2 linked regions of the Rhinolophus ferrumequinum genome follow. The protein of the gene in region 1 interacts with the protein of each later gene in a biochemical or structural test. Links are inferred from orthologs where the notes say so. Each region holds a gene or a part of one and is shown on either strand. Other genes may lie near its edges.

Region 1 (7,702 bases):
TCTTAGGTTGACACTAGAAAAGAACACCTTTAGGACCTTCTACTAACATAGACACTCTTCTGCTATTAGCATGAAATTACGTTAAAATAACTTTTTGTCTTAAACAGAATAAGCATCACCAGCTTTCCTTGCCCCCTCCTTTGTCCCTCTCTAGCCCCCAAGTTCCCAGTGCTAACCTTTTGTTATGTCAGTTTAATCCCGATTTCAACAGGTATATGAGCTTCACGTCCCCCAATTCTTCAACCTTCAGGGTGCCCCGGCTCTTCTCACCACAACTAACCTACTATGAACTATAACCCTCAGCATCCTAGCAGACTGGTGAAACTCCACCTCTCTTATCAGACTTCCCACGCTGGAATTCCCAGATTCCACAAATGCACGCCTTCTGTTGCTTGTCACTTCTTGGTAGGCAACTGCCCTTCTGTCTATACTAGCTTCACTAGAAATGTGAGTTCAGAATTTTCTGTTAGTTCCCCCAAAGAAAGCTAACACAGTTCTACAGCCTTTAACAAAACCTCACTGAAGGCTTGGGGTATCCACTACTCTTAGATTCCATCAGCCATGCTTCTTCAGTGGCAGGGCCTTACTTTCTTCTCTCATCACAAATAGGAGCCCTTGCTACCAGGCCCTTCCCTGTTTAGGAAAGGCCAGAGCCTTCAGTAACTACAGAACTAGTTAATAGCACCAGTTAACTAATCACAGATCTGGTGGTCTGACCCCCAAAGAAAACAACTTTTCACATTATTGTAAGTCTAGAAATTCAGAAATCTATGGACCTAGAATAATAGTATTTTGGATTCTCTTTCCGTAGCCAAAAGGACAATTTCCTAGAACAGAAAAAAATTATACCATTTGTCTGCTCATCTTTGCCAGTTTACAACTTCTTGATCCCATCCTCTATTGTTACTCCTCTGTGTGGCCAAATACTCCCAGATTCTGGTTTAACCCCAAACTCTGAAACTGAAGGTTGTTGTGAGGGTTCAAGTAGATAATCCATGCAAACAGTACACTGGTCTATTCTAAGTGCTTAATAAATGATAAACATTTGTTACTATCATTCACACCCAACATAGCACTTAACATGTTATTTGTGACTGTTCCAGAATGACAGTTCATTACGAGTTAGCCTTTATGAATAAGAACTAAATATCTGTCTTCTTTTTATCTTCTGGAACTTCTAGCAAATAATAGGCACTCAATAACTATAACTTTGAGTGAATGTCTCCCCTCTCAATTCAAAAGTATTTATAGAGTGTGTAATATAACTTCTATGCATGATACACTCTTAAGCTATGGTTCCTGTTCGCAACAGGTTTATAAAGAAGTATATGAATAATTACAGTACAAGACAAAGCTTAGTCACATGAGAAGTTAAAAGAACTGCTAAAGGGTTCAAAGGCAGACCAAAATCATGCCAATGATATAGAGTAATGGTTCAAGTGTGATCTGGGAAACCCTCATGCAGGTCCTGAGACCCTTTCACAGGACCCAGAAGGTCAAAATGATTTTTCATACTAAGATGTCATTTATCTTTCTCATTCACTCTGCCAGGAGTGTACATTGGAGTGTCTGGCATTACATAATCTGTGAGAGTGCAACACACTGAATGCAGAGGCACATAAACGCAGCCAGCCCTCCGTAGTTAGGCCAAGACATTAAAGAGATTTTCAAAATGTGAAACAGTGCGTTTTCTAAACTATTTGTTTTGGAAAAGTTTGTTTTTCCACATGTAGTTTCTGTTAACATGTAATGGGTTATTCTTTTTCAAGAAGTTAATATTTTAGAAATTTCTTAGTTTTAATTTCTAACATGGGAAATATCAGTATATATTATATGTATGGAATACATAGAACCCACATTAAAAACGCTCTGGGGTTTTCATAATTAAGAGTTTAAAGGAGTCCAGGGACCAAAAGTTCAAGAACCACTAGCACAGCGGTTCCAAGGCTGGTAGCAGGAAAATAGTTTTACTTATACATGTTCATAGCGAAGTCGTGAAAAGGACTTGGTAAGTAGGTTTGATGGAGGAAGATGGAGAGTTCAGTTTGTTTTTTCCACCATCCCCCTCTCCCTACATAAAAACCATCATGAACTCCTGCACCCCAAACTCTTCCATTACCTCTTTACCTGCATGCACTTCTCGCTAACCTTCCTCAGGCCTTCCAGGTCTGTGCCCGTGTCCCGCTAGTTTGCATTTGAAGTCCTTCCGAGTCACTGCCTGTCACAACGCTCTCCTGACAGCCTTCCTCCTCTCAATATACTCCTAGGTCAACCTCGACTTTTCTCTGTCAGCTCCCGGGGGGGAGCGTCGGAAAAGGGTGTGAACACCGGGGTTCAATATCCAAGCTCCAATATTCCCAGGGCTTTGCTGGGGGAAGGCTCTCTCTTTCTGGAAGATGACTGGAGTTGTCCCCACGTCCTTTCCTCCTTCCACATCAGCGGCCCTTGCACCGTCTCGCATGGCCCCGATGCTCTCCAGCATCAGGGTCCACCCTCCCACCAGGGTGCCCCCCCACACTGCCCTCGCGCCCCGAGCCCAAGTCCACCCCACGTGACCCCACCCCTGAGCACCGCCCCCCCCCCCACCCCCCCGGCGCCTCACCTCAGCCGGAGGCGCCCCCGACTCCCGGCCAACTCCGCCAGCCTCCTCCAACCGCGGCCCTCGGGCGCTCGGTCCAAGACCCCGCTGAGCCTCCGCAGCAGCGGCTCCGGAAGGCGGTTGAGGGTCGCGCTGGCCGGAGCTGGGAGCGGCGGCCCCGAGGGTGCGGCCGGAGGCGGCTGCGAGGCCAGGGGCGCCAGGGCCTGCAGCAGATCCACGCACCGCGACATGTCCCGCGCCGGCGACCCCGCCACTGCCGCTGCTCCCGCGGGCCACATCGCGGGTCTCGGCTCCAGCGCACCTTCCGCTCGCCCCCTCGCTCGCCTGGGCACCGCGGCGGCGGGGGCGGAAGGACTAATTCGGCGGCGCTGCACCGCACTCGGATGAGGAAGCTCCGCTCCCCGCCCCGCGGGAGACAGGTTTGCAAAGAGGAGCCGGGCAGACCGGCCGCGCCAGCCGCCCCAGCCGCCCCGAGGAGGCGGGGCCTGGAGGCGGGGGCGGGGCCGCCCACTGCGCGCGTGCGCACAAGCCGCGCGCCTCCCTGGCCCTCTCTGCCGGCTCCGCGCTCCGTGAGGCGCGCGCTTCAAACCTGGGGAGGTGGAGTCCTGGCGGAGCAGGAAGGGTTGGGTGGTTGCCGCTGTAGGAGGAAGCCGCGGAGGAACTACGCCGAGGCGGCTCCACTACGGCGAGGAAGCCTGTGGCGTCGGGGCTTCCCGAGACCGTGGGAGGAGGATTGCCTCACGCCAAACACGGGAGCACGCAGCTCTCCAGTTCCTGGCCGCTTGCTCCCGGGGCGCGCTCCGCTGACTCAGTGTGCAGGGCGACGCCACCAGCGCCCGCATTGGGCAACCTCAGCGGAGGCTTCCTGGTTTCAGGGATTGGTGTGTGTGCGTTGTGAAGAGAAGTGATGCCAGGCATCCGGATACTTAATGGAAGTTGCCCGAAATTTATGCCTTTTTTTTTTTTTTTTGTTAGCTAGGCTGTGGCCTATTTAAAACGAATGAGATGTTGGAAGTGATTGTTTTTAGCAGGAATCGCCTGGTTTCCTCCAAGTCAGACTGCCACCCACAATCTTCATAAATCAAAGCAGGCAACCTTAGAGAGAATATCCTCCCCTGGAAGGGTCCAGAATAGATGAGATAAATGCAGACGTCACCTAAGCTCGTTTTCCCAAGCTTAGCAATATTCAAGGTCGTTGTCCCATTGAAAACTATAGGGTCGTTTGGGACAAAAGCAAGCAATTTAACAAAGTGTGACCAGCCAGGTATTACCCAGACACAAGGCTTCCTGGCCCAATTTCTCGTGCATCAGCTTTTTCATCCCACAGGACAGCAGGATTTTTGGTAGCAATAATTTGGACACCCAAATTTTCTACTTTTGGGGAGGTAGATGCCCCATACAGTCTCCACCACATTCTAGTACAAGCCATTGGTGTACAGTGTAAATTCGGAGTTCAGAATGCAGTATAATGGCGAACTGCAGAACCTTTGGGTCCAGAAAAAGCTGCTCGATTCTAGTTTTATGACCTTGAATAAGTGACTTAATTCTCTGTCTCATCTGTTAAAATGGGACTGAAAATATAGTATATATAGAGTGGTTACCAGATTTAAAGGAGTTGATGTATATTAAGCACGTATTCTGCTTGGCTCATACATAGTGAATAATAACCGATAGCTATTATCCTTGCAAATGCAAAAGCTTCTTTCATACTGTTTGCCTTGGTAAATTTTTCCCAGTCACTTCCAGTGCCTTTCTGTTTTGTCCTCAATCATTGAACAAATATTTTGAGTCTATTAACTACATGGACCAATTATGGAAATCAAGTCTTCCAGTCTTTATTGGTCTAGTTTATGAGTCTAGTTTCTAGTCTTTTAAAATTGAGATTCAACAGACTTCCTTTTTCTAAGTCTACCATATGCAAGGTGTTGCTGATATAGCTTCTCGTATGTGCCTACGGGTTAAAGTGGGTACCTATGTACCCTGTGAGTATCCTTCCCAATTTGATCAGGGGCGTCCCACCTCCTCCCTTGCTTCTCCTATCGACTCCAAGACACCTAAGACAAGCGCCTTTCTTATCTCATTCTAGGCCAGATCCTTTTTTCCACCTAGCAATTTTATAACCTATGCATTCACCGCACTCCAGCCTCTACCTTCGGCTGACATTACCTTTTATGACTAGTCTTTTTCCCCTCCCAACCAAATGTTAATATTTTTATTATGCAATTTCACTTCTGTGGTTCTCTATGGGGCATAATAGTATGGTAGCAAGAATGTGATCTTTAGAATTTGCCCAGAATTTGAATATTGATGCAGCCACTTATTAGTGGTATGACTTTAAGTAAGTTATTTAACCTCTCAGCTTCAATTTCCACATCTGTAAAAAGCGGAAGATATAATAGTACCTGCTTCAAAGGATTGTTGTGAGACTTAAATTACACACACATATATAATAAACAGCAATATAGCTTCCTTTTCTATATATCAACCATTTATATAAAGATGGGAGAAAAACAGAGTGGAGAGCTGGCTTTTAAATGCCCCTTAAAAGTTCATGCATGTCAAGGGGATAGCCGGTTAGCTCAGGTGGTTAGAGTGTGGTGCTGATAACACCAAGGTTGCCGCTTCAATCCCTGCATGGGCCACTGTGAGCTGCGCCCTCCTTAAAAAAAAAAAAATGTTCATGCATGTCTATAGATAATATACTTGGGAGTTCTTCCTCATTATTTAAAAGTGACATAGATCTTTGTGAATCCAGACAATTGGCAGGAAGCTGTGGTTTCATTCTATGGAAATCCATTGATGTAATCTTCAAAACACAAGCCTTGAAACTGACTCATAGATTTTTTTCCCTTCACCCAATCTCTCTATAGATAGTACTCTAACTAAAAATGCCAGAGTGACATATTATTTTATATCTGGATAGGTTTTTTTTTTTTTTTTTTAAGATTTTATTGGAGAAGGGGAGCAGGACTTTATTGGGGAACAGTGTGTACTTCCAGGACTTTTTTCAATCAAGCTGTTGTCCTTTCAATCTTAGTTGTGGAGGGTGCAGCTCAGCTCCAGGTCCAGTTGCCGTTGCTAGTTGCAAGGGGCGCCCACCATCCCTTGAGGGACTTGAGGAATCGAACTGGCAACCTTGTGGTTGAGAGCCCCACGCTCCAACCAACTAAGCCATCCAGGAGGCAGTTCAGCTTAAGGTGCCATGTTAATCTTAGTTGCAGGGGGCAGAGCCCACCATCCCTTGTGGGACTCGAGGAATTGAACCGGCAACCTTGTGGTTGAGAGCCTAAGGGCCCATATGGGAATAGAACCAGCAGCCTTCGGAGTTAAGAGCACGGAGCTCCAACCGTCTGAGCCACCAGGCCGGCCCCTGGATAGGTTTTCAATGGCCCAGTGCAGGAGAAAACCTGCAGGTCTTGGGCTCTGTCTACAGCAGAGGGAAAGGAAACAGGAGTCTTGATTTAAATGGCGTTGCTTATTTCCTACCATGATTCCACACCAGCAGCCTTCATGGCCTCTGACACAGCCTGTGTGTGGAGGCGTCTCCGTCCTCTCTCAGACACAGGATCTCCACATCCCTTACAGCCCCTTCTTGCTGGCATCTCCCAAAGGATTAGGGGGACTTTCCCATTTTGATTTCATCTTTGGAATAGTACCTAAGCATCACACTAGTATTTCACATCCTTCCTTCACAATGAATCATCCGTGGCAAGAACTTATGTACTTGTTTAAATCCATTAATCAATTAATTAATTAATTCAATCATCAACAAATATTTATTGCATGTCTACCTTGTGCCAAGTTCTATGCCAAATACTGTTAAAGGATGGTTTTAAATTTTTTGTTTTTGTTAAGGCTCCTTTTTTTTTTTTTTTTTTTAAGAGCAGTTTTAGGTTCACAGCAAAATTAGGGGAAGGTACAGAGATTTTCCATATACCTTCTGCCCTCATAGCCTCTTCTTTTAGCGTCCCCCACCAGATGGTATATTTGTTACAATGAATGAACCTACATTGATACATCTTAATCACCCAAAGGCCATAGTTAATCACCCAAAGGCCACAGTTTACATAGTTCCCTTGTGGTGGTGTGCTTTCTATGGGTTTAGACAAATATATATTGAATGGCAATGTATCCGCATTATGGTATCATACATAGTATCTTTACTGCCCTAAAAATTCTCTGTGCCCCTTCTATTCATCCTTCCACCCTCCCAACCCTTTGCAACCAATGGTGTTTTTACTGTCTCCATATTTTTGTCTTTTTCACAATGTCATACAGTTGGAATCATACAGCCTTTTCTGATTGGCTTCTTTCACTTAGTAGTAAACATTTAAGGTTATTCCATGTCTTTTCATGACTTGATAGCTCATTTCTTTTTAGCATGGAATAATATCCCATTGTCTGGATGTACCACAGTTTATTTATCCATCATCTATTGACGGACATCTTGGTTGCTTATGAATTTTGACAACTGTGAGTAAAGGTGCTATAAACATCCATGTGCAGGTTTTTGTGTGGGCATGTTTTCAACTCCTTTGGGTAAATACCAAGGAGCAAAATTGCTGGATTGCATGGTAAGAGTATATTTAGTTTTATAAGAAACTGCCAAACTGTTTCCCAAAGTGGCTGTACCCTTTTGCATTCCCACCAACAATGAGAATTTCTGTTGCTCCACAACTAGGCCAGCATTTGGTGTTGATGGTGTTATGGATTTTGGATAGGATAGTTTTTGTTTTTTTTTAAAGAAAGTTAAAATCATGGCTCTCAACAAATGTACAATGAACACGTGTCAAAGATTTTATTTAACACATTAGTGAACAAGGGAACCAGAAAGATGTTACAACCACTTCAAAGGAGAATCCAAAGATCAAGATAAATATGTAAGCCCAGGAGGATGCTGAAATGAATTAGCTTAATAACTGCAAAACTGACTTCTTCCACAGTGGAGGAAGGGAGGCAGTTGATCCTCCACCTGAAATAATTTATTTACTTATAATTATGAATGGTTTGCATTGCCATCAGTTTTCTGCAACTTCTATCAGAGTTGCAAATAGCTAAATCAAAGACAATGAAAGTCATAGATTAACCCAGATAGATGAGCTA
Region 2 (7,948 bases), on another chromosome or scaffold:
CTTGAGGAGATGTGAAAGCAGAAAGCCAGCTATGTCTTTCCTGCCTCAGGGCCTTTGTACAGGTTGGTCTCTGCCAGAATGCTCTTCTTCCAGTTCTTTGCATGGCCTCCTCCTCTTCTTTCAGTTCCCTGCCCAAATGTCACCTCCTAGATAGGTCTTCCCTGACCACTGTACCCCCAGGTAGCCCCCAGAATCCCCACTCCAGTCACTTACAGTTAGGTGTCTTTGTTTTATCATTTATATGGGATGATTGGGATTTTACATTACTTTACGTTACAGTGATTCATATCTGTCTCCTATAGTAAGTCCCACAGAGTGGGGAAATGTCTGCCTCATCCCCACTGTATACCCAGGGCCCAGTATGTATCTGGCCCATCAAAATGAGAGAAATTTTCCCTCCCACTCTATTTAAGCAGGCCTCCCATCCCCACCCTGCTAAGCGATGTCACTGACCCCAAGATTTCTTTATAACCTTTATCACATTTTATAATTTAATTATTTAGTTTATTGTTTACATGTCTGCCTCCACATCTAGGTAAGGAACCCCATGAGGGCAGAGTCAAGGCTGTCTTAGTCACTGATGAGTCCCCAGCACTGCCCAGCACCAGGCCAGGTACAGAACAGATACTCAATAAATATTTATTGAATGGGTGACATCAGAAATTAACCTCAATTGAAACCAAAGATCTAGGTCTCAGGCCAGAAAAGTCTCAGCCTTGTTCCTGCCCAGAACCAGCGCTTGAGAAGTACCCGTCCCAAATACCACCTCCCACCTTTCAACACCCCCCAACTCACAGACCTGTGAGAGAACCCACAGAGTCTCCTCCACAGCCAGGCCAGCACTTCTAGGGGCCATCCCAAGATTCTACCTCCAGAGAGAAGCTCAGACGCAGCCTTCTGGGGCCACTGAGTTTTCATGTGGACTCACCCCTACCCTCCAAATCTCAGCACATTTATAAGAGAGAGGATGTTGTCATTTGGCCATGATTCTGCATGTCTTTGGGCAGCACTGAATTTTGGATGGCACAGGCTGAGGGACTGTATAACTAGTGGTTCTCAGCATTTCTTGGGAACTTGTTAGAAATGCAAACTCTCAGAACCCATCGTAGACCTACTGAATCAGAAACTCTGGAGATGGGGCCCAGCAATCTGTTTTAACACGCTCTCGAGGTGACTCTGATGCACACAAAGGTTTAAGAACCACTGTTACAGACTGCCTAATAATACTAGTTATTATTATTGTATTATATTATTATTATACCGCTAACAGTTAACATTTATTGAGCCTTTGCTGTGTGCCAGACACTGCTTTGAAAATTTACCTGTATCAGCTCACTGAATCCTCTGGATCCCCTAAAAGGGAGGTACTGATATTATGCCCATCTTACAGATGAGGAACACTGAAGCCCAGAGAGGGGAAATGACTTGTAGGCATTCACACAGTGAGGGGGAAGGGGTGGCACCAGAATGTAAATCCCAGCCCCAAAGCCGGAGATGGAGATTTTTACTACCACGGTGAATCTCTATAGAGGACTCCCCTTAGAATGTGAATAGGTGCTTAGTTTTATCCAGCGCCTAATTACCTGGGAGGTAGGGGCATCTGGAACCCCCATCTCAACCAGCAGGGAGGGACACCGTCAAGGAAGCTCAGGTGGATCTCGGTGAAACCCCCAGACAGAGGCCTGTCCAATGGAGTCCCCCCTTCCCCGTCCTGAGTGTGCAGGTGGGCAGGAACTGTGGAGGGCTGCTCACCTGTGGTCCTGGAAACGGCCAGCGAGAGCGAAGACAGGTCCGCGGACCCTGCAGGGAGGGAGGCAAGTCTCAGGAGATGATGAGGATCCCACAGAATCTCTCAACCCTACCCCCTTCCTCTCCTGGCACTGACCCTTTGTCGCCCAAAGAGTCTGTCCTTGCCTCCTTCCCTAACTCGTGGACTGGTCCCCTTGTTTTTGTCACTCACCCCACCCTTCATCACACTCAGGCCCCGCTCCTTCTTTACCTAAAGGTCGGGTCCGGAGAAGCCCTTCTCAACTTGTTAGGAAAGCCACCGTCCCCTTCATTCTTTTGGGGTCAGACCCTACCCCTTCACTTTTTCAGTGTCAAGCCTGTCCCTTTCTCCTCTCAGACCACTACTCTCCGAGGCAAACCCCACCCCCTCTTTCTTCTCTGAGCCAGACCCCGCCCTTCTTCCAGAACAGGCCCTCCCTCTTCTCTCCACCAGAGTCAGGCCCCGCCCCTTCTCTCTTTAGGAGTCTGCCCTCGCCCCCTACTTTCGCCCAGGCCCTGCCCCTTACTCTGAGTAGGAAACTGCTTCCTTCTTGGAGTCAGGCCCCGCCCCTCATGTGAGCCAAGCCCCTCCTTTTTCGCCCTCTCAGAGTCTGGCCGGGTCCCTACCCCTCAGGAGCAGCTCCCAGCCCCACCCCTCCCGGAGTCGGGCCCCGCCCCCTTCTTTGCCTCAGGGTCAGGCCCCGCCCCCTCCTCACTCTGTAGTGGGACGCCTCTCTCTTACCTTGCACCGGACCCCGTCACCATCCTCTGCCTCCTTCCTTCCCTCTAATACAGTGTCCCCCAAACCCTCACACTCTCCCCGCAAAACCCCTAGACTCCTGTAGGAACCCCCAGATTAGTCCGGGTCCCCCAGAACCCTCGCATCTCCAGTCCCGCCACAGACTCCTCTCCTGAACTCCAGCCTGGCCCCGCTTACCCAAGGCCCCCAGCTCCGGCGCAGTGGACGGTCTGGCGGCGCGGCGACTCGGCATGGCTCGACCAGTGGGGACGGACGGCCCAGAGGCCGGCCCAGACCAAAACACACACGAGGGCAGGCCGGTGGCCAGGCGGCACAGTCCGGCGGACGATCGCGGGTCGGGCGACCGGCGCAGGGGCTGGGGCCGCAAGCCGGGCAGGACGCGCGGCGCCCGGGGCTGCGGGGGGCCGCGGGCCGGGCCGGGCGAGCGGCGGGCGGGGGCGGGGCGGCGGAATTCCCCGGCGCCGCGGGCCTGCGGGCTCATTGGCTTGCACCCTGTCGTGACGTCACGCAAGGGGGAACGGGAAAACCCCCACGCGTCACGTGATTGCGGGGGCGGGGCCGGCCGGGAAGAGGAGGCTGGGCTCTCGGGAGGGGCCTGCGCTGCTGGCCATAGAGCTCTGGCGGAGACAACTAAGGCTTGCTTAGGGCCACTGACGCCCACCCATGGATCAAGTCGGGGAAACTGAGGCCCGCCCCCCAAGTCTGCCAGCGGAACTTGAACCTGTTGTTTCTCTGGTTGGAAGGGAAGCTTTGGATCAGAGGTTGCCAGGTCTCTACAACTGTCATTGATAATAATGATCTTTACGAAGCCTCCATGGTTTCTCTACGCCTCGTTTTCAACTGAAAATTGGGAGTGAAGATACTTAAACGTTTAAAGCTAGACTGTTAGCTCTGGGATATGTCTGTTTTGTTCCTTGCTGTATCCCCTGCTCCTGGCACAGCGCCTGCAGAGTAGGTTCCCAGTAAATGTTTACTGAATGAATGGATGGATGTGTTATTCCTCCCCAACAGCCCCCCCTTCAAGTTTTCTAATAGCCCAGAGCATTTGAAGATCCAAGGCTCAGCAACTGAGTCTGGGAATGGTAACAGTGTAGCCCCAAAGTACGTACTGAGCTGTGTGCCTGACCCCTGGGCAAAGAGTTTACCTGGGAGCCTCACAGATGCTTCAGACCTTGCGGTAACATCAGAAGCACGTGATAGAATTAGGAGTCTTTCAGAGAGGAGACCGAAGCTCAAGAAGGGGCAGCCATTTGGTTAGATCATATTTCTAAAGCCTTCCACCCTTGAGAATGAGTGATCATTAGGTTCCAACTTGGATGTGAGGCACCCTCACATCACAGAGTGCTATGTCTGCTCATGTGTAAAATTTGAGCATTCCTCTTCTCTCCATGGCCCACACAGACTCATTGATTCATTGGACGTACACTTTACTGAGTACTTGCTCTTTGCCAGAGACTGCACTGGGCACTGGGGCACAGCACTCACCAAGCCAGGCCTGGTACCTCCTCCTGGGAGGCAGAATAGTGTACAGCAGCAGTTCTGAAAGTGTGGCCCCCCAGCCCTTCAGGTGATGTGGATATAAGCTCAAGTTGGAGAACTACTGCTAGACAACAAAATACCAAGCAAATGTTTTAAAAACTGCAAAGGGCCAGATAGCAAATATGTTGTTATGCTTAGGCTTTGAGGACCAGATGGTCTCAGTGCTCAACTCTGCCATAGCACAAAAACAGCCAGACAGTACAGAAACAATGAGCGTGGCTGTGTTCCTATGAAATATTAGATATTGACATTTGAATTTTGTGTAATTTTCACATGAAATGTTCTTGAGCTTTTAGCCACTTAAAAATGTAAAAATTATACAAAAGCTGGAAAAGACTGGATTTTGCCTGCAAGCTGTAGTCTGCATATGACAAGAGCATTGCAAGAGGTTATGATTGAGGGTCCAGAATCAGACTGCCTGGGTTCAAATCCTAGGTCTCCCATTTAACAGCTGTGTGACCTCGGGCAATTGACTTTATCACTCTAAGCCTAATCTATAAAATGGGTCTAATAATAGGGTGGTTGTGAGGATTATGCAAGATACTAATACTACTTGGCATTTGTATATAGCTCTTATATGTGCTGGGCACTGTTCTAAGCACTTTGTGTTCTGAATACTTGAGTCACATTACTTTGGACAGACTACTTGCTTTTTTAGGTTTGTTTTCTCATCTGCTCTTGTGAACATTTGATTTAGAGTTATTACTACACACAGTATAATGGTGCCAAGCATTATTCCAAAAGGTTGGGACACAGCAAGGGACCTAACAGACAAAAGCTCCTGCCATCGTGGCCCTGAAATCCAAGTGGGGGAGACAGATGGAAAACAGATACGCAAATACATGTCTGGGGGTGGTGGCAGTACTACAGAAAATAAGGCAGGATATATGGATTGAAGTTGGAGGGTTAGGAAGCTGAGGGAGGGTCCGGCATGACATTTGAGCAGAGAGCTGAAAGGGGAAGGATCCATGTGGATATCTAGGGAAGATTATTCAAGACACAGGGAACAGCAAGTACAAAGGCCCTAAGTTGGGAACATGCATGGCATATTCAATGAACAGCAAGCAGGCTGGAAGTGGAGAGACTGCTGGGGAAATAGTGGAGATGAGGGTAGAGCAATGGCCTGTAAGGTGATGGGAACATCAGTATTAAATTTAATGGATGACGCAAACCACGTACAGCACTTGCACTAGAACTTGGCTCATAAGGAGTGTAGATTAGTGGCTATTATAGGACCAGGAGCCCACCTGACTACCCTCTGCCCTTTGCCAACGTCAGGCCTCCCAACTGTTTGTTGGGTGAATAAGCAAAAGGATGTGTCAGAAATCCTCAGCGCTCAGGATTTCTACTGGGCTCTGAGCTCCTTGAGGGCAGGCCTGGGGCTGTCTTGGTCCCTGCTGTATACATAGAACCCCCCACCCCGAGCTTAGGGCAACGTCCAGGGGAGGGGCTCGGAACCATTTGTTGACTGACTGCATGTCAGTCTCTCCACCAGGGTCAATGTGGGCCCCATCAAGGTCCACACTTCTAGATGTGTGTGTGTGTGTGTGTGTGTCTGTGCAAATATACACACACTCAGCAAACATTCCCGGAGCACCTCCACTGTGCCCAGGACACAGCAGTGACCAAGACAGCCCTAGCTCTGTCTTCATGGGACTCAGTCCCCATGTGTGGAATGACCTGTCCCATAGTAAGCAGGGCTGGGATGTGGAGCCTGGGAAGCTGGGGAGGCTCAGAGGGCGTGGTCAGGGAGGGCTTCCTGCAGGAGACATCGGAGCCGCAACCTGAAAGATGCAGAGAGTAAGGTAGAGTTATGTGCCTTACCTGTGTCCCCAGGTAAGGGAAGAGCATAGTCTAGAGCCAGGAGGTAAGAGATCACAGCAAGTTAAAACAAGGGAGATGAGGTTCTAGAGCTCAAGAAGACCCCTCTCCTCAAGGTCTTGCTCATCAGTTAGGAGCCTGTGCTCTTCTCCTAAGGGGAGCCATGGTAGGTTCTGAGCAGGGGACAGGTAGGGTCAGGTTTGTGCTTTAGAAAATTCTCTCTGGCTGCTGGATGGAGAGTGAATGAAAGGCGCAGGACTGGGAGAGGACACTAGGGAGGAGGCTGGGTGGGGATCCTGCAGGGGCGAGTTGGAGCCTGGACCAGGTGGTCTCAGTGGAAGTGAAGAGGTGAGACTCCTGAGTGACTTTGGGGTACAGCTGATGGGCTTTGCAAAGGCTGTGGGAGGAGCCAGGGGAGATGAGGCCAGTGAGGAGGTGGCCGGAGAGCCCACACGCCCGGGCCTCAGCAGAGCAGCCCTGTTGGGAGCCTGGGTTTCTCCTAGGGCACTGGGAGCCATGGAATAGTACAGAACGGGAGGGACTGGAGCGGGCTGTGGCTCCCTCAGCGGAGGAGGAGCCTGTGCATGTGTACGTGATTGTGTGCACGTGCATGTGTGTACACACGTGGGCCTGTGCAGGCACCATCTCCCGGGACCTCCTGGATTCCCTGCCTGGCTCTGCAGGGCGCGGTGGGAGACAGGTGGAACCCGAGGGAGGCTGCTGTGGTCCTCAGCCACGGGCCTCCTCTCACCACCATGTTAAGACCACCTTCCCCAGAAGTAAATCAGGGAATGTGGGCTCAACGCCCTTGGAACGCAGGGACGCCCAGAGGCCTCAGTTTCCTCACCTATAAAGTGGGTGAACAGCCCCAGCACCCGGTTTCGGGAAGACATGTGCATGACCCACTAAGAGCTTGGCTGGGTCCTCGGTGCTGGCAGCCCTGGGGATGCGAGTGATACCCCAACAGCTCCGGGTGCTACGGCTGAGCAGCACTCTGAGCGAGGATTTCCCCTGTACCCCTGCTATGACCCTGGGAGGTGAGCCCATAAGCCCAGAGAAGGGAAGTCAGGCATCCAGGGTCCCAGGACCACTGAATAAAGCCTGTATCGGGCAGGGGGTGTCTGCTCACAAGGCAGGTCTGCGCTCCTGCCCTGCCTGGCGGCATGAGGCCCGGAGAGAATCACTGGGCAGAGGCGAGGCGCCAAGCCTCAGCTGGCCAGATACAGCCTTGTGGGTAAGAGCATAGGTGCAGCGGGGTCATGGCAAGCAGCTTCCCCATCTGTGAAACGGGGACAGTTATAAAAGCCCCCTCAGAGGGCTGCTGGGAGGGGGAGAAGGGTGAAAAAGGGGCATGGCACAGAGGGTGACTGTCCCCACCTCACTGGGTCCTGCAAACTGCAGGTCTCCCTCCCAGACCTGGGAGAACCACTCATACCTGCTCTCCAAGGTGACAGAGGAAGGAAGGCTAGAGGGGGGGTTGTCGAGTTTAAGTTAAACACCCACATTTATTAAATCCAGACTGTGTTAAAGGGCGGCGGTCTGGGAGGAGGGGGATGGTCGCGGGACGAGGGACAAGATGATGGATGGCCATGGGCATCCCAGAGGGGCCCTGGCACCTCCCCCGCCTGGCCCACTCCTCGGCAGCACTGTGTGGGCTTCACCATGATTCCCAGTGGTGCTGGGCTGGCGGGGCAAGATGGCTAGAAACACAGGAACAGACAGACGGTGCCTCCACAAACCACGTGCTCTGGCCTGCCCCAGCCCCTACACCACGCGCTGGGCCCTGGTCCAAGGGGGGCCCCCTGCCGCCCCAGCACGATCTGTCCAGGGGAAGGGCGACAGGGAAGGGAGGCGAGGGGCCCGGGGCAGTGGGGGCTGTGGTCACCAGGGGCCGGAGTGGACGAGCAGGACCAGGAACGGTTAATCCCTTTTCTTGTCCTCTGCTGGCTTTGGAGGGACTTCCTGGGGCTCGGTGGTAGCAGAGCTGGCCTCTTGGGTGGGCTTGGCAGGCAGGGGCATGGAGGCCTCTTCCCTGGTGGTAGCGGTGGTGGTTGTGGCGGG

What was found.
Region 2: of the proteins of MALT1 (region 1) and RELB, one has a biochemical effect on the other in vitro, tested with the Homo sapiens proteins (2 studies listed by BioGRID). The link is inferred for Rhinolophus ferrumequinum from reciprocal best matches to the Homo sapiens genes MALT1 and RELB.

Annotation. Positions count from the first base shown.
Region 1 is NC_046302.1:47,376,232-47,383,933, reverse strand, and holds the start of MALT1 (mucosa-associated lymphoid tissue lymphoma translocation protein 1), read right to left. Parts: upstream 3,099-7,702; 5' UTR 2,878-3,098; coding exon 2,603-2,877; intron 1-2,602. UniProt on the Homo sapiens protein: Protease that enhances BCL10-induced activation: acts via formation of CBM complexes that channel adaptive and innate immune signaling downstream of CARD domain-containing proteins (CARD9, CARD11 and CARD14) to activate NF-kappa-B and MAP kinase p38 pathways which stimulate expression of genes encoding pro-inflammatory cytokines and chemokines.
Region 2 is NC_046298.1:41,469,170-41,477,117, reverse strand, and holds the start of RELB (transcription factor RelB), read right to left. Parts: upstream 3,009-7,948; coding exon 2,705-3,008; intron 1,801-2,704; coding exon 1,753-1,800; intron 1-1,752. Other genes in the region: putative lipid scramblase CLPTM1, read right to left, coding at 7,808-7,948.